Lepisosteus oculatus: one gene and its partners. The protein of the gene in region 2 interacts with the protein of the main gene of each other region in a pairwise test. Links are inferred from orthologs where the notes say so. Each region holds a gene or a part of one and is shown on either strand. Other genes may lie near its edges. The genes, in order: alpha/beta hydrolase domain-containing protein 17A, hematopoietic prostaglandin D synthase and meltf.

Evidence for each region.
Region 1: the proteins of hematopoietic prostaglandin D synthase (region 2) and alpha/beta hydrolase domain-containing protein 17A interact in binary tests that used the Homo sapiens proteins (3 or more experiments, as listed by UniProt). The two-hybrid records come from large-scale screens. The link is inferred for Lepisosteus oculatus from reciprocal best matches to the Homo sapiens genes HPGDS and ABHD17A.
Region 3: the proteins of hematopoietic prostaglandin D synthase (region 2) and meltf interact in binary tests that used the Homo sapiens proteins (3 or more experiments, as listed by UniProt). The two-hybrid records come from large-scale screens. The link is inferred for Lepisosteus oculatus from reciprocal best matches to the Homo sapiens genes HPGDS and MELTF.

What each region holds. Positions count from the first base shown.
Region 1 is NC_090724.1:9,560,764-9,568,055, forward strand, and holds the start of alpha/beta hydrolase domain-containing protein 17A, read right to left. Parts: upstream 3,099-7,292; 5' UTR 2,432-3,098; intron 134-2,431; 5' UTR 130-133; coding exon 1-129. UniProt on the Homo sapiens protein: Hydrolyzes fatty acids from S-acylated cysteine residues in proteins. Has depalmitoylating activity towards NRAS. Has depalmitoylating activity towards DLG4/PSD95. May have depalmitoylating activity towards MAP6.
Region 2 is NC_090698.1:13,967,550-13,975,575, reverse strand, and holds the start of hematopoietic prostaglandin D synthase, read right to left. Parts: upstream 3,082-8,026; 5' UTR 3,012-3,081; intron 1,023-3,011; 5' UTR 1,016-1,022; coding exon 883-1,015; intron 1-882. UniProt on the Homo sapiens protein: Bifunctional enzyme which catalyzes both the conversion of PGH2 to PGD2, a prostaglandin involved in smooth muscle contraction/relaxation and a potent inhibitor of platelet aggregation, and the conjugation of glutathione with a wide range of aryl halides and organic isothiocyanates.
Region 3 is NC_090708.1:2,209,192-2,216,182, reverse strand, and holds the start of meltf (melanotransferrin), read right to left. Parts: upstream 3,025-6,991; 5' UTR 2,580-3,024; coding exon 2,531-2,579; intron 1,987-2,530; coding exon 1,832-1,986; intron 1,099-1,831; coding exon 999-1,098; intron 822-998; coding exon 636-821; intron 1-635. UniProt on the Homo sapiens protein: Involved in iron cellular uptake. Seems to be internalized and then recycled back to the cell membrane. Binds a single atom of iron per subunit. Could also bind zinc.

The DNA of each region.
Region 1 (7,292 bases), on a different chromosome or scaffold from region 2:
GGCCTCCAGGTCAGGCAGCAGGGCATAGGTGGGCTCAGGGGGCAGGAAGGCCAGCTTGGCGGCGATGCGGCTGGGGCAGGGGGGGCAGCAGAACAGGCAGCACAGCTCGCTGACGGACAGCCCGTTCATGGCCCTGCAGGACAAAGCACAGTACTCAGGACACACTGTGGTCAGGGCTGGCCACTGGACAGCAGTGCAGGACAGTGTGGTAGCTGTGCACAAGTACTGTACAGTACAGTACAATACAGTATACTGTACACCAGTACTGTACACACAGTACTGTACAGTACTGTACAGTACAGTATACTGTACACCAGCACTCCACAGTGTAGAACAGTACAGTACACTATACAGCAGTGCAGGATGGTGTGGTAACTGTGCACACAATACTGTACAGTACAATACAGTATACTGTACACCAGCACTCCACAGTGTAGAACAGTACAGTACACTATACAGCAGTGCACGACAGTGTGGTAACTGTGCACACAGTACTGTACAGTACAATACAGTATACTGTACACCAGCACTCCACAGTGTAGAACAGTACAGTACACTATACACCAGTGCGGGACAGTGTGGTAACTGTGCACACAGTACAGTACAGTATACTGTACACCAATACTCCACAGTGTAGAACAGTACAGTACACTATACACCAGTGCGGGACAGTGTGGTAACTGTACACACAGTACTGTACAGTACAGTATACTGTACACCAGTACTCCACAGTGTAGAACAGTACAGTACACTATACAGTATACTGAGTACAGTGTGGTAACTGTGCACACAGTACTGTACAGTACAGCAGTGCAGGACGGTGCAGGACGGTGTGGTAACTGTACACACAGTACTGTAGAGTACAGTATACTGTACACCAGTACTCCACAGTGTAGAACAGTACAGTACACTATACACCAGTGCAGGACGGTGTGGTAACTGTGACCACAATACTGTACAGTACAGTATACTGTACACCAGCACTCCACAGTGTAGAACAGTACAGTACACTATACACCAGTGCGGGACAGTGTGGTAACTGTACACACAGTACTGTACAGTACAGTATACTGTACACCAGCACTCCACAGTGTAGAACAGTACAGTACACTATACACCAGTGCGGGACAGTGTGGTAACTGTACACACAGTACTGTAGAGTACAGTATACTGTACACCAGTACTCCACAGTGTAGAACAGTACAGTACACTATACAGTATACTGAGTACAGTGTGGTAACTGTGCACACAGTACTGTACAGTACAGCAGTGCAGGACGGTGTGGTAACTGTACACACAGTACTGTAGAGTACAGTATACTGTACACCAGTACTCCACAGTGTAGAACAGTACAGTACACTATACACCAGTGTGGGACAGTGTGGTAACTGTGCACACAGTACAGTACAGTATACTGTACACCAGTACTCCACAGTGTAGAATAGTACAGTACACTATACAGCAGTGCAGGACGGTGTGGTAACTGTACACACAGTACTGTACAGTACAGTATACTGTACACCAATACTCCACAGTGTAGAACAGTACAGTACACCATACAGCAATGCGGGACAGTGTGGTAACTGTGCACACAGTACTGTACAGTACTGTACAGTACAGTATACTGTACAGCAGCACTCCACAGTGTAGAACAGTACAGTACACTATACACCAGTGCGGGACAGTGTGGTAACTGTGCGTACAGTACAGTACAGTACAATACAGTATACTGTACACCAGTACTCCACAGTGTAGAACAGTACAGTACACTATACAGCAGTGCCAGACAGTGTGGTAAGTGTGCACACAATACTGTACAGTACAGTATACTGTACACCAGCACTCCACAGTGTAGAACAGTACAGTACACTATAGAGCAGTGCACGACAGTGTGGTAACTGTGCACACAGTACTGTACAGTACAGTATACTGTACACCAGTACTCCACAGTGTAGAAAAGTACAGGACACTATACAGCAGTGCAGGACAGTGTGGTAACTGTGTACACAGTACTGTACAGTACAGTATACTGTACACCAGTACTTCACAGTGTAGAACAGTACAGTACACTATACAGCAGTGCAGGACCATGTGGTAACTGTACACACAGTACTGTAGAGAACAGTATACTGTACACCAGCACTCCACAGTGTAGAACAGTACAGTACACTATACAGCAGTGCACGACAGTGTGGTAACTGTGCACACAGTACTGTACAGTACAGTACAATACAGTATACTGTACACCAGCACTCCACAGTGTAGAAAAGTACAGGACACTATACAGCAGTGCAGGACGGTGTGGTAACTGTGCACACAGTACCGTACAGTACAGTACAGTATACTGTACACCAGTACTCCACAGTGTAGAACAGTACAGGACACTATACAGCAGTGCAGGACGGTGTGGTAACTGTGTACAGTTAATTACCTGGTGTTATTTCCGCAGGAGACTCTACAAAAACCCCGTGAAAGACAGCGCGCGAGCAAGAACGTCCCGAGAGGCGCAGCATGAACCCCAGTCCGGCTCGCGGATATACGGGGCTCCGTCACTCGCAGCGGGTCCTACTGGGCAGTGTCGTGGGGACTGGTCCACACCGGAGCCATTGTTTCAAGACCGACTGGCGGTGGCGACAGGGAAGACACGCCGGGCTTCGGCTGCGGTGTCGAAATTAACATCCAATTCTACTCGTCCAACCCTAACCGGTCCGCGGATGGCGGAGATCCCGCACGGTTTCCCGCAACCGAATCGCAAACTAAAACAACACGCGGATTGATTAAAAGTGATTTATGCTACAGCGATAACGAAAAAAAACGGCAAAATAATATCAATTTAGAAACAAACACTGCACACGTCTGGTGTCCAGGCGAAGCAGAACCGGCGGGCCGTCAGACACCGAGTCGAAGCGCGATGCTGCTCCAGGTCTGTGATACAAACATGGAGACGCGGGACGAGCAGCCCTTCCCGTCCACACGGCGACACAGACCCAGAATCCCGGCACCAGGGTTATTTCGTACAGAATTTCATTTCTCCTTCTTCACTCCTGCGCCGCCGTCACCGGATGTGACGCAACCAGGACGTGACGGAAGGAGGCTCCGCTGCACGGGAACAGAGTCCGTCTCGCGGCTGCCGGGGCTGATCGGGGCAGGTGAACGGGAGTCTAATCCGGTTAACGGAAATGCTCCGCAAATGTTTACACTGGGGAGTCAAGACAGCTTGGTCGGACAGAGAACTGGAAACAGACAGGGGGTCTCCTGGCTCCACTGTACCCTTCCGTTACCCTGTATCCCCGATTCCTGACTGTCGCAGTAACGGGGGGACACGGTCCGACCCCCATGAGTAGAAAAATAAAAGTCCCTTCCTCAGCCGGCACAATGCTTTCCGTCATGACCAAAAATGGACTTTTGTTAAGTCATGAGACCCTTCACACTCCGTGTTAGCAAAAAGATGATAGAAAGAGGAAGAGGAGATACTTGTCCGCATATAGCGCCAACCTGAACAGCACTGCTTCACTGTATAATGTTTCTTTATTAGCCCTATACAATTTCTTGCATTAGAAATTCGTCTTTTCGCATACCACAGCTTTTTCTCCAAGGAGACAAAGACACACAGAAAGGGAGAGAAGCTTGGGGTCAGAGCACAGGGTCAGCCATTGTACGACGCCCCTGGAGCAGTTGGGGTGAAGGGCCTTGCTCAGGGGCCCAATGGAGTAGGATTCCTCTGCCGGCCGCGGGATTTGAACCGGCAACCTTTCAGTCACAGACGCAGATCCTTAGCCACAGAGACACCGTGGCACCCTCTCCTAGGGCCGTGTACAGATTAAAAAGCAATGACGCAATAAGAAAACAATATCGGTGTTAAAAACCAGGCCAGCTTTCTTCAGAACAAAACAATTGTTAGTTTTAATTGGGTGGTCTGATACATGGCAGGTAGGGAGAGCAGGAGAAGAGGAGAGACAGCAGGGATACCTAGGGGGTGAGGGGAGCTGATTCACACCTCCAGCATAAACAGATCACCCGAGATACCCAACACCACGGAAACTGCAGAGGCTGAGGCAGAGAGAGAACATCTGTCTCCTGATCAGCATCTCCGCAGCATCTTGGTTCAGGGAGTTCAGCTTTCGTGAACATGTATCGCCTACATTCGAGAGCAGCGACAGGCTCACACGCACAAACAGGCAGGCAGACAGGAAGAGAGATGGCCCACGTTTCCTGCTCTGTTCTTATATTTTTCTAAAACACCAATAAAGGAACAGCAGTAAAACCCTGACTGTTCTGTTCCCCAGAGTCTGTCCCAGAAGCACAGGGCGCAGGTTGGGAGTTCACCCTAGTCAGGACACCAGCCCATCGCTGGGCAGGTTCGCATGCAAACATGCAAACTCTGCAGAGAATGTGCCCCAATCAGGACTGAAACCCAGGACTGCAGAGCAGCAGAAATAACCAGGATACCACCAGCCACCCCAAAACCCTTGAAACCTTTGGTGGCAGGTGGTATGCTGGTTATTTCTGCAGGCAGGGTTTCAGCATTCAGCTTCTCCCTTCTCCTGTATCTGTCTGATTTAGTGCTCCAATTGTCCCTCCCTTCAGCACTGTCACACCTGCGGTGGTTTTGTTTAGTTTAGTGTTTCAGCCTGAGGTGTCAGGATCCAGAAGCAGTGACACCCAGATCTCAGGTATCCTGTAAAGATATGGGACTGGGAGACTGAGGGAGGGAGAGAGGGAGTCGGAGATGGAGCAGAATAAGGGAAGAGGGAGAGAGTCAGAAGTTGGAAAAGAAGATTTTACCATAAAGTGAACTAGACAATTTCAGTCTTCTAGAGGATACTGAAATATAACGTGACACTACAACAACTATTCTTACATTGTTAGACATAACCATGCCCTCAACCACCTTCAGCTCAGATCCGAACCCCTGGTCTGGGAGCACACGTCCCGAGCTGGCTGGCGCCTCGTGGGTTAAACCATCCCGAGCCCTCACTGCAGGAAGAGGAACAAACAAGCTTGATGAATTGGAAGGAGGCGCCGCAAGCCAACTGTGCCGTCTGCTGATGTGGCACCACGAAGCCCTCTCTGGCAGCTGTGGTACAGCCACACCTCCACCCAGAGGGCGCTGCTGCATGGCACCTTTCAAACGAGGAGGCCCGGTCCCTGCTGCAGAGCAGGAACTCGGCCTGGAGCAAGGTCTTCGCCAGTACAGAGCTCTGCTCACTGCACTGCAGCCCCTCAGATCAAACATCTGTGGAATGTGGGTCTGCGTGCTCACAGACCGCTGCCATTTTACTTGTCGTTGCCTCGACCAGAGTAGCAGAAGGACCAGAACATCTCCCCTCCCCCTCCCCCGTTCGCTCACTCTGCAGCTCCCGACACCTGGATCCCAGCTGCAAACCATTTCTCCAAGCTGGTTAATCGGAACCAGCGCCCAGGAATAATGGACCACAAAGTAAAGAGAACACAGCCATTTAAATTTAAAATAAACTTTGTGATTTTATTTCATACTTGGAAGTCATACAATCCTAAAGGAACAGGTGTCTTCCCTGGATGGTGAAGGAGGACAGGGGCGGTGTGGGGTAGGGGTCTGACGAGGGTCTTCTGGGGCCACAAGTCATTTTCCCTCAGGAGCCACATCTAGCTGAGGCAATTAGTCTTAACTGGACCAAATCAGCCCTCGTCCTCCCAGGGGCTCAGCTGCCGGTTTGCAGAGTCTGGAGAACTGTGAGTCTCCAGCACCAGAGATCTCAGTGCAATCAGTGGCTGAAAATCTGCTTCACCTGAGCTAATTAAAACAATTACCTCCTCACAATTAAAACAGTTACATTTACAGATGAGGTGCAGCCCCTGATCACACTCTCCCCCCACGTCTTCTCTGGCGGTCTGTGTACGTATCCTTAACTCCACCTGATCTCCAGCAACCAAGAAAGTGGGAGTCTTTAAAGCAATTATGGCTCAATTAAAATTAAAGCACCAGAGAGACAGCCCGTCACAGAGATGAGCTGAAAGGACCCAGGGCGCCCCTTCCCCATGTTGTAACAAAGCACTATTGAGTCTGATTTAAAAAATCTAATTGCTGTGCTGGATATCCATAAGACTGAAGCATGTTCTAGATTCTCTATTGTTGTTAATATACATGGAAAGGAAATACACCAATTTAGGAAAACTGAGGCACTCCAGAACCTCATTCCTCTGTCCTGGTGCCGGAGCCACAGGGACAGGTTTCCCTGAGCTCCTGACGGATTCCCCGAGTCGGTGAAAGAACTGGTGCCGGTACTGCCGAGTCCAGAGGCAGCCCGGCTGTGGGCTTTCACTTCCCCAGCAGTCTTGGCAGGGCTGTGCTCCTCGGCTCCACGACAGAAGAGCCCGCTCTGCGGTCCAGGACAGATTCTACTGGCAGAATATAATCCTCCTGCTGGCTCCACAAGTTTAAACCAACCTCCGGAAGCAGGAGAGGACACAGGCTGCTTGTGACCCCGACACCTAGAGCAGCTCCTGAGGCAGAGCACGTTAGTACTGCGGTGTGGAAAAACAATGTGCTTCTGCCCCTTTTTAATCAGAATGCAGCCCACAGTTCAAGAAACTGTTACACACAACCCATATCCTCCCGTTCACACCAACCAACTCAACAACAAAATAAATAAAACGCAATCACACAGTCCAAGCTAACTACAATATATTAATATAGATCCTCTGGTGTCATACGCTCATTAAAACAGGAAAAATGAAAGAAGCACAGGACCTCAATCACAAGGCTGCCCAAGCCCAGCCCTTCACATCCGGCAACTGCACGCACTCACAGTATCAACAGAAAAGCAAACTGAAAGCAGAGACTGGGGGTTACCGATCAACTCCACCTCTAACAGCGTGAGGGGGACCGAGCTCCACTACGCAGGGTTGGGGGGTTGGGTGTTTCGCCTTCTGCACCCCAAGTCAGCAGGCACTCACAGCACAAAAACCTCCCTCCACACAGGATGCCCCTGTGAGAGCATGGGGTGGGGGGGGTTTCCGTGATGCATGGCGCACTGGGGCAATGCTGGGGTGGACTGACCCCTGAGCCCATTCTGAGGAACAGTCTGATCCCCTCCACTCCAGGACACCAGCCCAGGCTCGGGCTGCGCTCTGCGAAACACACTGGCCTGCTCCACAAATCCCACATGAATCCCTTATCTGTCATTTTGTTAATATTGCAGAAAACACCCTCTCCACCGCGACCCTGTTCAATACCACTCGCCCCAGTCTCTGAATCTGTAAGATCCAGGGCCCAGTAGCACAGCCACGCCCCCAGAGGACACACGACCAGG
Region 2 (8,026 bases):
TAACGCTTACGGCCGACAAGCACTGTGTGTAAGAGCCGGCGTACCAGAGCGGGCGACGTCACTGCCCTTCCCTGTGATAGCAGGACCACAGCTACTGGGCTGTGGAGAGATCTCTCTTTAGCTCACGGGGCTAGGTCGCTGCAGAGAGACGCGGAAGTCCCCGGGTTCGAGCCTCCAGTCGGGAAGGGGCCGACCAGATGCGGCAAGGGCGCCCGCCTGAGCCCCCGTTGCGTTACAATATTTATAATTATGAATCCTATATTAATAATAATCATTTATTTGACCACTAAGAATATATTCTCATGTACAATGATGACTAGTATCCTCTTATATAACAGGGTATTACATGAGAACAGCATCTTGCTCAAGGAGACAACAGCAGAGCTCCATCTGGGAGTCAAACCTACAGCCTGCAACCCACCAACATTGCTTCACATTTGAGATGATAAGGTGGTATAAAGAGTTCCCAGCTACCTGTGCAGAGTTTAAATTGTGCTTTATGGATTTTTGCAATTGAAATGTGTTTGGCAGAGTTTATCTTGCATGTGTGGTGCTCGGATATTGTCTTCAAGAAAACTTTAACCCTCAACAATCAAAACATTATAGTAGTTATTGACAATGTGCTCCCTCTCCATAAACAAAATGAAACCAAGATTAACTGCAAGCTTAATTCATTGATAATGTCATTTCACATTAACTAAATCCTTACCAGCACATAAATTGAATTGTTCTAAATGAAGACAAACTAGTTGACAAAACAATGCAGCCTGCTAACATAACTTCTAATGTAAATTTCTGTGAAACTGCATTGTAAGGAGTTTCAGAGTAATGCATTCCTGCGATATATTAATGCAAGTAAAACACAGAGCGCAAGCTACTCACAGGGCTTGATGGAAGGCCAGTTATGCCATTCTATTCTGATGTCTTCGTAGGGGATCCCTGCATAGGCCAATATGAAGCGGGTCAGCTCAGCTCTCCCTCTCATGTTAAAGTAAGTGAGCTTGTAGGAAGCCATGCTTCTCCTAAAACCAATGAATAAGACACAGATCTCCACTATATATCAAAGACTGCATACTTTGCTCTATAGTGCGTGAATTAATGTGACGAAAAGCTCAAGAAACAGAGGAGGAAACTGGTTTTCCCAAGAAACACACACTTAACTAAAGTAAGATCAACGATCCATGCTTATGAACAAATGAGCAAATCTTTCAGAGGCCTGAGGGCTCATAACTGAAACCATCAGTGCGAAAGATTTTCATGATGCTTAAGAAATGCAAGGCAGGGCATGCCAAATACTACAATTATCTTATACTTATGTTTGTGCTGAAAAAATAATGTACAGAATTAGACAAATACAGTTACTGTATGGGATTACTATGTGTTATTTCCAACTTTATAGAGTATAATAAATATTGTTTAATTTGCCCTATTAATAACATTTTAAAAAGTTTCACATTTTTTGTTGGCTTCCTACTTGACAAATTCTAAAATGATACAAGCCGAAAACATTAGATTTAATAGGTAGTGAACTATCACTTCTGCTGACATAGCGAATAAGATTGTCTGGTGTCTGAAGGAAAGTTTCTAAAGAGGAAGGTTACTGTACACAGCACCCTCTGGTCAATAAATAACTTAGCAGCGCATCTCTTGTTGAATCATCTGAGAGTTTAAGGGAGGTGCAGGGTTTCCCTGCTCTTGGAAATGGCCCAGGCATCACGCCACTTTAAAGGCAGGGAGAGCCAAACAGCAGAAAGGACAAAGATGGGAGCAATTTCCCCTCCCAGTTTATCTGGTTCTGTTTCTCCACAGTCAGTAATGCTAACCTCTATGCTACCACACTGCCTTTTCACATGTGAGAATTAGCTTTGAAATGAAGCAGGCAATGGTCAGGGCTCTGGAAAGCTGTGGGTTCACACCCCAAGTGGAGCAGTGTTGTACCCTGGAGCAAGACACCGCACCCAGACATGCACAGCAGTACTGACGGGCACATGAGGAAGTCGCTGTGGATTAAGGGGCAAGGTGGATTAATCATGTGCATGTGTTGCACGAAAGCAAAAGTGTGCCTGAAGGAGCAAAGAGAAACAACTGAGGCATGATTGTTTGGAATGTAAGCAAATAGCAAGCTATTCACACGTCATCGGCTTGAGAAATCTTGGCAGTGTAATTAAATTAGTAGCACGTTGGGCGAGTTTTCTGGATGATTTAAACCTCAGAACTACTAGAATCTACCAGTGTGCCTTTGCCTCGAGGCCCCAGAGAGACCCCCCCCCCCCCACCATGAGGCAATAGAAGAGAAGGGCAGTGATAAAGGCCACCCTCTCACTCCTACAGTACTGCTGTAAGGAGCCTGAGTGGGGCCAACCCCACATATGTATGTACTGGTGGGATGGCAGAGAAACAGAAACATGCAGTAGAAACAGGGAAAGCAGGAGCTGGATGCCTAAAGCCACCTGAAATAGAGTCAGGATGAATCAAGGAAGCACCTGAGCTGTATCTGGCACCTGTCAGCACCCTTGAAACCTTCACAGCCCTGGTACCCTGGCCTGGGAGCACAGATATGACCACAGCAGTGAGTTTCAAGAACAGTGGCCTGTGCCGGAACAATAAAGCTATCCACTACTGTATGATGCAATGATGTAATTTGGAGGATTTTTTTTAATCTTTCCATTCCAATCTATTGTCCCAAAGATTCACTATCCTCCAAAAATTATAGAATGCTTGCAGGTGTACCAAGCAGCAACATTGTTGCTAGTTTCCCTTTGCAGTCATTTGTAACCCAGAATTCAAATGCATAGAAAGTTTGATTATATAGATATTTTTCTAACTTAAGTCACAAATCTCAGACCTATGTTCCTGATCAAAATGTAACAGAATTAAGACAATATCAAGGTAGTAAATGGGTTATAAACCACAAGGTAAGAAAAACATAGACTACAAGACAATATCATTAAATATATTTCATGAGGTGTTTTTTTCTTTTGCTGAAAGGTTGAAAAAGAGTGTTGACTTACAGATTCTGTATGCGGTTTCGTTGAGGTTTTGTTCCTCCTTTTAACTGAAGAAATACAGAAGTAGCCAGCTGCTTTTATAAGATGCCAAAGTCTTATCTCTGATGACACAACCTACATTTGAAGCATAAGGTGTCACGACAGCCCACAATCAGAATCCAACCATATGCCACCCTCGTAAGCAACCCCGAATTTTACCCAATCAGACTCCAGCTCTTTCCAATTCCAACTAACGCCATCGCAGTAACTAATCAGCCAACCAGACCTTTCTTTCATCACCCTCCCCACTTTGCCCTCAACACTCAGTAGTGGTTTTCATCTAGTTGAGCTTCCCTTCTCACTTTTGAGTTTCTTGTGATTTACCTTACTCCTGAATCTGTCTTTGACGAAGGTCTTTGATCTACCATTAATAGAGGCTCAGTAATCTATTACACTACAAGCCAGATGCATTTTAGTACCCTGTGCAGTGACTGACAGTAAAAAGGGGTACAGGAGTAGAACTTCTACTAGAACATTTTCTAGAAGGAAAATCTGAGTGTATTTATCTGAATTGTAGATCCTATGGAAGCCAGTTTCCACCAGGGAGTAAAGAAAAAGCACGCTATGCTATCTCGAAGTTTTGACTTTATATCTCAAAGTTATGACTTTGTCATAATTACGACTTCATATCTCGCAATTGCGTCTTTATCTAGCAATTACAACTTTTGTCTCATAATTTTGACTTTTTATCTCGAATTTGCGACTTCGAAATAGCCTACATTTAATTGTCCTTTTGTTCTATTCATAACTCATACAAGATCTATAGGCCTGAAGACTTGTCAAGTGCCCTGATAAAAATCGAATTAATGTAGGTTTACACTAATTTTTATGGAAGCCCATTTCTGCCAGTGAGGCTTCCATAGTAACTGAATGAAATAGTGGACGGTGGGCTTCTTTTGCCAGATGAGCAACCTGGCCTGGCTATGTTCATTGCTGGCACCAGAAGTGACGTCAAAATTGTGCGATATGAAATCGTAAATATGAGAAATAAGGTAGATATTTTGAGATATAAAGTCGTATCAGAAATGAGGTCGTTATTTTGAGATAAAAGGCTGCAGTTGTGAGATATAAAGGCGTAAACACGAGAAGTTGGAATTACGAGATTTTAAGTTGCAAAAAATCATAATTATGAAATATGAAGTCGAAACTGTGAGATATCATAGCGCGCTCTCCCCACCTTTTTTTTACTCTGGTGGAAACGGGCTTCCTTATAGATCAAAGGCCTTGGTCAACGACAGGTTCAGGAGTCAGGTAAATCGCAAGGAAGTCTCAAAAAACGAGAAGGGGAGTTCCGATAGGTGAAAACCAATATTGAGGTCAAAGGGTTGTAAGGGTAACCTGGGAAGTGGAGGGTGCGGTGATGAAAGAAAGGTCTGGGTGGTTGATTACTTACTGCGACGGTGTTTGTTGGAATTGGAAAGAGCTGGAGTCTGATTGGGAACAATGCGGGGTTGTTTGCGAGAACAGCGTATGGTTGGATTCTGATTGTGGGCGGTCGCGACATAAGGCACATTTAAAGTATGAAATAAAATCTAAAACAATACAAATGCAGATTTTCTAATCGCATGTTTTCCCTTATGGATAAGGTTTTACTTATCTTTAGCAGAGAGAACCATAAAAACAGCCTGTTCAGTGTCAAACACATGCAATTCACACATACTGTAAACAGTATCTACACAGCTAGAGCGCAATACGTACAGTAGGTTGTTTAGTTCTTTAGAATTTAGTGGTTCTCTGATGCTAAAAATGTAAACTGCATTGAAATGATGAACGTAAGAATATCTAGAATCTGTCATGAATATTTTTTGCAAAGCTTTATAATAGTAACAGCTACCTCACCCAGTCCGGAGTTACACTGTAATTGCTCCTTACAGTATGTGAGCCCTTATCCATAAAATCCAGCTCGTCGTTTCTGTGTGTTTTTAAAAGTTTAAAGGGAGGTAACAGGGTGCCCAGGAGAGTGAACAGTCCTGGCCCTTATTGTAAAATGTTTATATGAACAAAGTATTTTAACATTTTATAATCATTGGAGATTTCTTTGGGTGCTAGTAACTTTTTTTATACTGCTAGTAACCATGTTCCATTGTCAGGGAGTACAGTAGAACAGGGATTCTACAAATTCGTTCATGTGAGAAAATTGTGTTTCTTCCTTTAAATCAGGTGTAGTATACCCCTGCACAAAATCCAAACTGTCTTAATAGTACATGAACAACAGGAATTTGATGGACATTAATGAGCCAGAGTATTAACTGCTTCCTTGATCAAAAGAGCTTATGTAGCCTACAGAATGCACTCTTGAGTGCTGGTTACATGCAGTTTGCATAGAAATCAGTCACACTTCATATTAAAGTGCTCGTGTTTTTGTTAATGCATTCTACATATTATTATAAAATAATTTCAGACAGATTGTTAAAATGTAATATTTTCTTGACTTCTGAAAGCCATATTTTCATAATATGTTAACATTATTACTGAGGTTTTAAGAATTTTTAAGACATTTCATAGCTTTTTCATTGACTATTTATGGGTAAAAAACTGATATACTGTAATATCAAACGTCGAGGGTGTACCCTGCCTTTTGCCCGATGCTTTCAGGGTAAGGCTTCAGTTCCCCCATGACCCTGTATTGAATAAAGTGGTAGGAAATGGATGGATGGATGGATTCCAGGACAATAATTGTGTGTCCACACCACAGGTAATGTACCACCATTTGTACAGTTGATAGTGTAAATGACCAAAACCTGAAAACACTCAAATGAAAAGTATGCTGTGAATAAAGTTCACAAATATGTTTGCTACTGGAGAAATAATAACAGTATCAGCTTCAGTCAGCTCTCCTGTGTCAGCAGGCTGTTCTCTTGAAAGTGACAAATAAAGATGAACTCCCATCTGGAGCAGACTTTGTGACACCTTGGCACACCTAAGTAACCTTCAGCTGGTATTGACAGACAGTAGCTCTTATTGAGTTTCATGGAATGGCAATTATGTGCCTTATTGATTTCTTATTAAACACTTACTTGACTTTTAGTTGAGTTGGGAATTCTTTTTTTTTCATTAAATAAAAGGCACCTTTAAGTAATATGTTTTATTTTTCTGAATACAAATTTCTGGTTTTTTATGTACTCTGGCATTCTTTTTCTGCGTGAGTGGTCCAGCTTTATACATACCTGTATGAAAAACAAAACTGTATTGTGAAACAGGATTGAGAAGAAAGGTCCAGTTTCTGTAGGGTTGCTTTACCACTATGGAACAACTGGTCAATAGAGTCTTCTGGTCTGCATTTCACCCCAGCTTTTAGCTACTTTACAGGAATCCTGAAAAGTCCAGATTACAGTACCATGATCTTTAGCCACTGATTAAGGATGCCTGCAGAACCCAAAGACCTGGCGCAAAGGACCAAGTGACATCCTGAGCTCTTCACAGGGCATGTCAGTCTGAACCTGTGACACCACAGTGGCAGCAGTCTGTATGTTGCACAGCGGAACTGTTAGACATTTCACTTTTTTTTTCTTTTTTGTGGGCTCTTATCGATTTGTTTAAAAAGGAGAAGGAAAAAATGTGAAATAAGTAAATATCTATTATCTCCTAAGGCGTACAGTATTACAGTACTTCTTTAGATGCAGATATTTAACAGATATATAACAGATACTGTATTTATTCTAGCATGTATAAAATTGGAACTGTTGTGCTCTGAAAGGTTTAGTTGTACAGATGTAGCTCTTTCAGACCAGTAATCAGTTCAGTTGAGGAACTGCCACTTTGGAGCTCACGACAATATACACCACACAGTTCAGAAGCAACAAGAGAGACCAGTAAGGCCAATAAGACTAAGCTAAAATAGGTTTCTTTATAAACAAACTGAAATACAGGTTCTATCCTAGCCTGTAGAGCAATGGTCTCTAACCTTGATCATGGAGATATCCAGTCTTTTGGTTGTTGGATAGAGATTGTGGTAATCTTCATGAGAATTATGTCAATACCTTGTTTAAATTAAGTAAGGAAGAGGTGGTCTAAAGTGCATAACAGAGGACTCTGTAACACCCTGGAATCAAGGACGATGACCCCTAATATACAGCAAAGCCCACAATAAATGATGGTTCTTTTCAAATCAGTGCCCCACTGAAAGTACATCAGACAACTGTCTTTGATATTTCAAATGCACTATGATTCATATGTATTTGTGTATGGAGTGAAAAGTGGTGTGGGCAGTGAAATGGGAATGATTTGAGGAAAAACCAGGTGTATTAAGAGCCAATGTCTCCAGGACAGTTTTGTGGTTCTCTGTCCTGTCTACTGTACATCAGTGCAGCTTTAGAAAAAAAGAGTGCAGTGTACAAGACAAAAACCTACTGATGGCTTCTGATTCTTGACCGTTTTTACATGGATGTGTTCAAAAGTATATTGTTTCTGTCACATAAATGATCCAACATAATGAGTTTCTGCTTAAACCTTTATACATCTGGCTCAGTAGTATTCTCTTGACCCCAACAGAGACTGGAGTGTGTTCCATTGCTGGAGCTGTACCTGACCACCATCCTGACCTTCAGAAGGTTGCTCAAAAGTCTACACCAATTGAGATAACAAGTGTCCAAGTCTTTACTGTTTGGAGCTGATCACCCTTGTGTTCAGACTGAAAACAAAAGGGCTAGTGTGCTTGTCACAGTATGCTTCGAAGGTTATGTGTTTTTTAGAAACTAAGTGTCAACACTACAATGTTTTCAGTGTTTCTTACACTGATCACCAGTCTGTTTCCTGTTGTTTCTGGAAAGGAACAGAACTTAGAAAGCACAGTATTTCGTTTTTTTATTAAATGCCTGTCCTGCTGCCACCTGGAGGTGATGTGGAAACCTATTCTCTTTAAAATGCTAATATGACCTAGTAATTATAATTTAATATTCTTACAATAAAATATCTCTAAATATGTCATGGGAGCCACTGGGAGAAAATATATTCAAGGAGAATTGGAGTGAGTGGAATAT
Region 3 (6,991 bases), on a different chromosome or scaffold from region 2:
GTCTGCATCACGATCGTAATCCCTCCTCTTAAGAGCGCGCCGGCTCTTTCTTATTTTGCTAATTAGATGCCCCTGCCCCCAGTCCTGCCCCTCCTGGCTCTTGCTACTCCTGGCTCTGCACTGGAAGACAGACGCCCGGAGGCCCGCCTACCACCAAGTCGCCCTACGCCCGCGGCTTGAGGGCACAGGCCTCCTATCAGTGTCCTGACCAGCTGCGTCCGGGGCTCGGAGCGCCTGGCCTCGTCATCCTGTTTTTATTCCCCTGTCCCTGTACCGGGTCCCGTTCCGGTTTTCAACTCTGTTTTGTCCCGTCTCGGTTGGATCACCCGGCTTTGGACTTTTGGACTTCGCCCCAGATTTCCCCCCTGGACTCCTTGGACTTGTTCGCCCTGGCCACGCCCCCCGAGCACCAGCTCCCCGTCGTCACGCCCCCCTGTCTGTCACCCCCTCCTGACCCTCGTCGTCTCCTCCCCGTCCTCCTTTTCCACTCACTCCCGGATCATACCGTCTGCACAGGGTCCTGAACTATGCTTCAAGGGAGCCCGGAGCGGCTCTCATTACACCCGTGCGCTGACAGAGGAGGACCGGGCCTGCTGCACCGGGTCCAGGACTAGGCAACGAAACACCTGCTCTACCTCTCTTGATGTCGCAGCCCATGACGGACATGCGGCCGCTGTCGATCAGCAGGCCCAGGGGCATGTTCCAGCCCGCCGTGCGGCCCAGGCCCGTGTGGCAGGACCTCTTCCCCGCCAGGCTGTCGATGTTGATGCCGGTGCTGTTCCGCCACACCACTGCCACGGCGTAGTAGGTGGTCCCCACCTCTGCAGGAGAGCACAGGTCGTTACTCAGCCCCTCCAGACCCCCGCCCCGCGACACGCTGGGACAGAACCGGGGGTACAGAACAGGTTCCTGCCTTGCACCCATGCGCGTGCAGTTCGCCGGGGGGTTGGCGGCGAACGGGGCGAGCCGACGCCACGTCGGAACACTTCACAAGTTACCTTCTCCGTATGTCTCTGCCACGGCGGTTTTGAACTTGTACTGCTTCCCGGCTTCATAGATATCTTTGCCACTCAGGGTCACGGCATCCGCTTGATTGCCCTGAGGAAAGGAAGGCCACAGTGTACAGTACTACCCACTCAGTAACAACAAAAACAACAATAATCCTCCTCCTCATCATCTATATTCTCATCCATGTAGCGTTTTTATCCTAAAGGATCCTGAAACACGTCACGTGCTGTTCAGGACTGGACCCACTTCACCCACCCAGCAGAGAGGCACAGGGCTGCCGGGAGATGGGAGAACTCACTGTGCCGAACAGACAGGGGTGAACCATATGGAGGCCAGACTGTATTTGGACACATGGGATAACACCACCCTTACTCTCATTGAAGACACCCTTCATCATGTCCAGTTTCGGAAAACTCTTAATAAAAGAACAGGTTTTATTGGGTGTTTTTATATTCTGCATTATAGATGCATGAGTTCCCTGGCCACACATACAGCACACTCAGGGACTATGCATATCTATATATATCTAAGTTAATCGTCACTAATTTAAACTGCTATGGAGGAAAGACAGTTAATAGAAAGTTAAATATAAACATTCTGAATCAGAACCTTCTGACAGAAGGCAAAGACGGAATCGCACCGGTCTTTGCACACAGTCCTGTGCGAGTTCCGGGTTCGGTAGCTTCTCAAAGTACCTTTACACTCCTAATTTCATTTTTTAAAAACAAAACCAAAAGAGCGTATCCGGATTCAGGATACCAGGTGTTTCGGGACCCGTGCGATGGAAGCAGTAAACGCAAACGGGGGGTCCGGCTCCACGTACCGACACTTTGGCGGCGCAGTCGAGAGCCGAGGCGCCGGTAACGCATCGCAACTCCGGGCGGACTCCGCCTTCCCTGAAGGCCTTGGACAGGTCCTCGCACTTCTTGCGCTCCGGGTCCGACACTGTGCACCACCGCACGGTACTCAGGCCTACAACTGAGCACGGGGGGGGGGAACAACAACATTCTTTGCACTTTTCTATTCACATTAGAAATGATTCAATAGAAAAGGGTTTTCATTCTGAACAGCAGATGTGTTTTTACACCGCCCACCTGTGTAAATACAGGGTCATGGAACAAGGTCAACCGGCAAAAAAGATTTTTCAAACCTAGCCTAAAAACAAGAATTGGTGTTTGTTTTGTGTAAATTATGTTATTTTACTTTGAAATCAGCCGTTGGGCGCTGACAACAAACAACGACACATCTCTCCAATGTGCGCCAGTACCCGCCGTGAGACACCGACTTTCAGATCCCCCAGAAATAAAGCACTGATCTTCACAGACCACGGCAGTCTAATGCGACGAATTTACATCCAGCATTTATTTGCCAACGGTGTTTAAACAGACACCACTACACCCCCCGATCCCCGCCAACAGGATATTCTAAAACTCCGTAAAAGACTCATTTTGCAATTTATCCTCCTGAACGCCTAGGTTCTTGTCTGTTGCTCGGCCAACAGAGAACTGCCGCGAAATCTCACCGGCCTGGAGGGTGAAGAGACCCCAGCAAATCGTCGTCCAAGCGATCATGGTGATGGACGAGCGCAGAGCTGGCACTGGCTTTTATCCTCTCGAGTCACACCGTCTTACTGCGCCCAGACCCTCCCGGGTTCAAAAGTGCAAACTCCACTAGTCCGCAAAGAGCGAATCCGCATTTTCAGCACAATAATCATAAAGTTTTATGATGGTCCTGCCACGGTTTTCCTCCTGCGCAACTGCCCGCTCATGCTGAATTCTGCACGAAGTCAGTAAGTCCGGACACACCCCCACCGTAAAACCGCAAGTCTGAAGAGCTGGAGTCTGTCCAGAAACCCCAACACAGAAGGCTTTATGTGGCCGTCGGCCCAACGAGACATCCAGGTGTGCCGCCTGCACAGTGGAACAGGGCAGCCAAACAGAAAGACCAAAAGGGAAGATTAAAATAATTGCCGAGGCATGAAGGAAACGGCAACAGTCAAGCAACAGAAAGCACTTGAAGTACTTGCAGTCATAGCCCCACATTCTCGGTGTGTTTCCACCCACAAATTCTGAGGTAGTTCGCTAGGTTTTTCTTCATCCGTGACACTTTGAATCTTCACTCGGTTAATGCCTAAAATACCTACAGATCTTCAGTTCATGGAGACTCAAAATGAAAAACCCCAGAGTGTTTACGATCCCTGCTCTGTGGTTTATGATGGAGAACGACTCTTCCAGAGACGGACACTTAGAGAACCATGTTCTTTTGGGAAAAATACATGATATGGTCTTCATGACCAGGAGAAAGCAGGGCTTGTATTTGTGTGTCTGGTTTTTAATTAACAACACACTCAAATTATTTCATGGAACATTTAATCACCTGCTTAACAGAAGACAGCAATGCAACAATTACCTACTGTAGTAGCTATTCCTACCAAACTCTCATCTCCCTCTGTGTCTGTGCAGTAACCTACAATACACACCAACCTGTCAGCCTGTAACTACTTCTGAAATAAGACTAATAACGATTGCAGTTCAAAATCAGCTTATGGTACCATCTTTTGAAAATCTAATAATTCTCTGCAAACATTCCCGTTATTTCACGAAAACTAACCTTTCAGTACATTTTTGCTGCATGTATCACATACGACACTATTGAACAATGTAAAATACTGTTTTTAGAAACTGCCACGCATGAGACGACGTGAAAACAATTACTTAATAAGGCCCTGTGTATCTCGTCTGTTTTAGCGATTATAATTATAAGTTCAAGCTCACAATAAACGCGTATAGTGCTGCCAAATGTCTCATCAAAATCCCCCCCAGCCTGTCTCTGTTGGGTTGGGTCTATCCGTCTCTGATCCCGGAAAACCCACACAGGACCCAGGGCAGCTGGTGAAAGCTCGGCTAGAAAGTTAAAGTGCGTGACCCGCTCAAACCTGTTTACTCTATATTTCTGTCCCGTCTTTCCTACTCACAAGAAAGTGTGCTGGTCTATGGGGAGCGGATAAGGAACCCGATCAGAAATGCCCCCGCTACAAGCTGAATAGTCTCGCAAATGGTAAATGACGACGCCATCCTCACGGCGCTTTCAATAGTGGTTACCTATTTGACTCCGCGTTTCACTTATTTTTACTATTCATTACACGTATCCGTTTGATTGGTACAAGTCGTGATACCGTTTGAGACCTTTTGACTTAACTAGCTCAGAATCACAGTGAAACGCGCCTGTCCAGAATCACATTGTTTTAGAAGTGATCGAGATGGCCACGTCTATCCCCGGAGGCGACAATAAAAGTTTAGATTTATCTTTACATGTTTCAATGTATTAAGAACACATTTTAATTAGTATCGAGATGAAGTTGTCGGTCTTCATTGGACAAAATGTTTTCTGATGAGTGTTAACCGTGATCTTGGAGACTCGACGTTAATCAGTAATGGGGTTCTGTGTTGGGGGTTCGGGAAGCTTAATCTGATGGTCGATCCTCTGTTCACTTTCCTGCCCTAACTAATGCTAGACAGGGCACGTTTGGATAACCGGTGATCAAGTGTCGAAATAGTTAAGTGGTCAGTTTGGTTGCTTTGTGTCAAACTATGGAAGTCTGGGATCTCTTGCCGACAGTCTTTTGCATCGCATAAGTGAAATTCTAGGGTTTTATTGGTCATATAATTACAAGAGAACTCCTCATTCACTAAAGCTTCGTTTTCTTTAGAGGATCAACCTCCTGGTTAGATCATACCGTAATTTCTGGTGAGCCGACACTGCTCTTTATGTAGGTTAGGGTTGGCCTGAGTTTTCACTGATGGTAGTTCATCTTTCTTCTGTCGTCGTACGGGAAGATGAGCAGACTCGCAAACGGGGAGTCGTGACGCTATCCTCAGAGTAGAAGGAACAGGGCTTTGAATGCGATGCGTTTGATGTACCGTAGAGATACAGCAGCGTTGCATGAGATACAAACTCTGCAATTCTCGAAGTGACCCATTGCATAGATGGTCTGTATCTATATATAGTTACTCCTTGCATATATTTGCCATCATTTTAAGAGTCGAAAAACTCGCAAAGCACACAAACTCCATGTGTAGCTCTGCACGTATTTCCAATAAGCCCGTGTCATTGACATTTTCAGCAACGATGGAGACGAATTAAGAGCGCAGAGGCTAAAAAGCCGTGCTGTTAAAAATGGCATCTGGATGGGCATTTGACGTCTTTTCACAAGACACGAACAGAGCACGTTAATATGTTACCGTATTCGCTTCACACCCTGTCCAGTAAAATTAGGTTTTGGAAACTGCTCGGTGTTGAGCTAGAGGGAGCTCATATTTTACAGGGGCACTGGGACATAAGACAAGTAGATATAGAAATACAGCTGATATGACCTTAAACGTTAGTGTGGTTTAAGGCAACGCGCGTCATCTGAGCGGGTGAGCTGTTCTGAAACGGACTCGGCTCGAAACCGCCGCGCACGAACACGACCAGTGCATCTTTGTCACTCCGGTTTCTAAACGCTTTCAGTTGCAAAGCAGCAGCACGTTGAGATTTCTCGTCTCGTCGGAAAACTCCGAAGGGGCCGCATCAAAGTGACCAAATAAATAAAAAAAAAACAAGTTTTGATGTACACAGACCATAATCTGAAACAGTAGTAGCGCTCATGGGTTTGCGCTGCACCAGGCCACTTAACCGAACTGGAGTGTTCGAGGTCATCACAGTGCCCCAAGGCGCGGACCTCTGGTATCGATTGGTCCCCCTGTGACACTGTAACACCTGCGCAGGTGCTTGTTCTGTTTATCCTCTAGTCAGGGGGGGGTTCGGGTGGTCGCTTTCCTGAATCCCGGAGTTCTTGGGTAGTCAGGATCAATGACACGTACGACAGGAGGGCCGAGGAGTGAAACGTGGTCACCTCGTGATGGTTTTCTCAAAGACCATTTGACACCTGACAAGGAACAAAAAAAAAAACCCCTCAGAACCACTGATAAACTTCAAACCGCGTCTGACCGCAGCGGTATGACGTGCACGGCTCCGCAATGCCCCCTTGCGCTCACTCGGTGTTGTGTAAGGAAAAGCGCGGAGGACGCCCCTTGTCGGGCAAAGCATGTAACATGTTTTAGCAGGCAGAGGACGTCAGCTGAGCAGGCGAGAGCCCCTCAGACGGCTCTGTGGCCCGTGTTGCGATGCGCCATCCAGTGGATTAATTACGTGCCCCCTGCTGTAAAATTCCCTCAGGAGAGTTCCTCGTAATGTCCGCGGTCACCTGGAAACCGCCTCCCTGGCTCGCAAAGCGCTGAAATCGTTAGATTAGCTGCTGTGCTGGGTGTGTATCGAAGAGGGGCCCCGTTAGAAGGGGAAACAGCTCTGCGGGGAGAATGAAGCTCATGGTACAGTCTCAAACAAACTTGTTAGGACTGTTCGCTCTTAGACCGACGGTGCGTTTGGCTGGTTTAAGAACAGAAAATCCTGGACTTGGCCTAAACCAGAAATAATAACCGAAAGCTTCATTACCGAAAACCAAAACTCTCCCTTGTCGAAAACCGAGTCGTTTAAAAAGAGAAGCACAAGGAAACGAGGCGATTTGCTCCCAGAGAGTGGTCGAGGCCGTCTCTGCCGGAACAGTGTGCAGCTTAACTGTCTGAACCCAAGTGGTTTTAAGACTGCAGGGAAAAAAAGGGAGAACTTTTACACAGCATTCAAGGCGAAATTGTGAACTTCCCGAGATGGAGTACAGGGTATCGCCGACAGCGTGCCACGCTGTACCGTACGAGCAGGAGGGCGTCGGGGAGGTCATCAGGGAGCAAAGCAGCGAGCTTCTCTAGGGCTTTGAGAAACCGCTTAATTATATTTGCTTACACTTCTATAGCTCTTACCTGGACACTCAAAGTACTTTACAGTTAATGCGTACCTGGATGACGCGACGTCAGCTAGTCCGCTCCCCACACCCCAGCTCTCAGTGGGGAGGAGAGCAGAGTGATGAAGCCAGTTCAGAGAGGGGGAG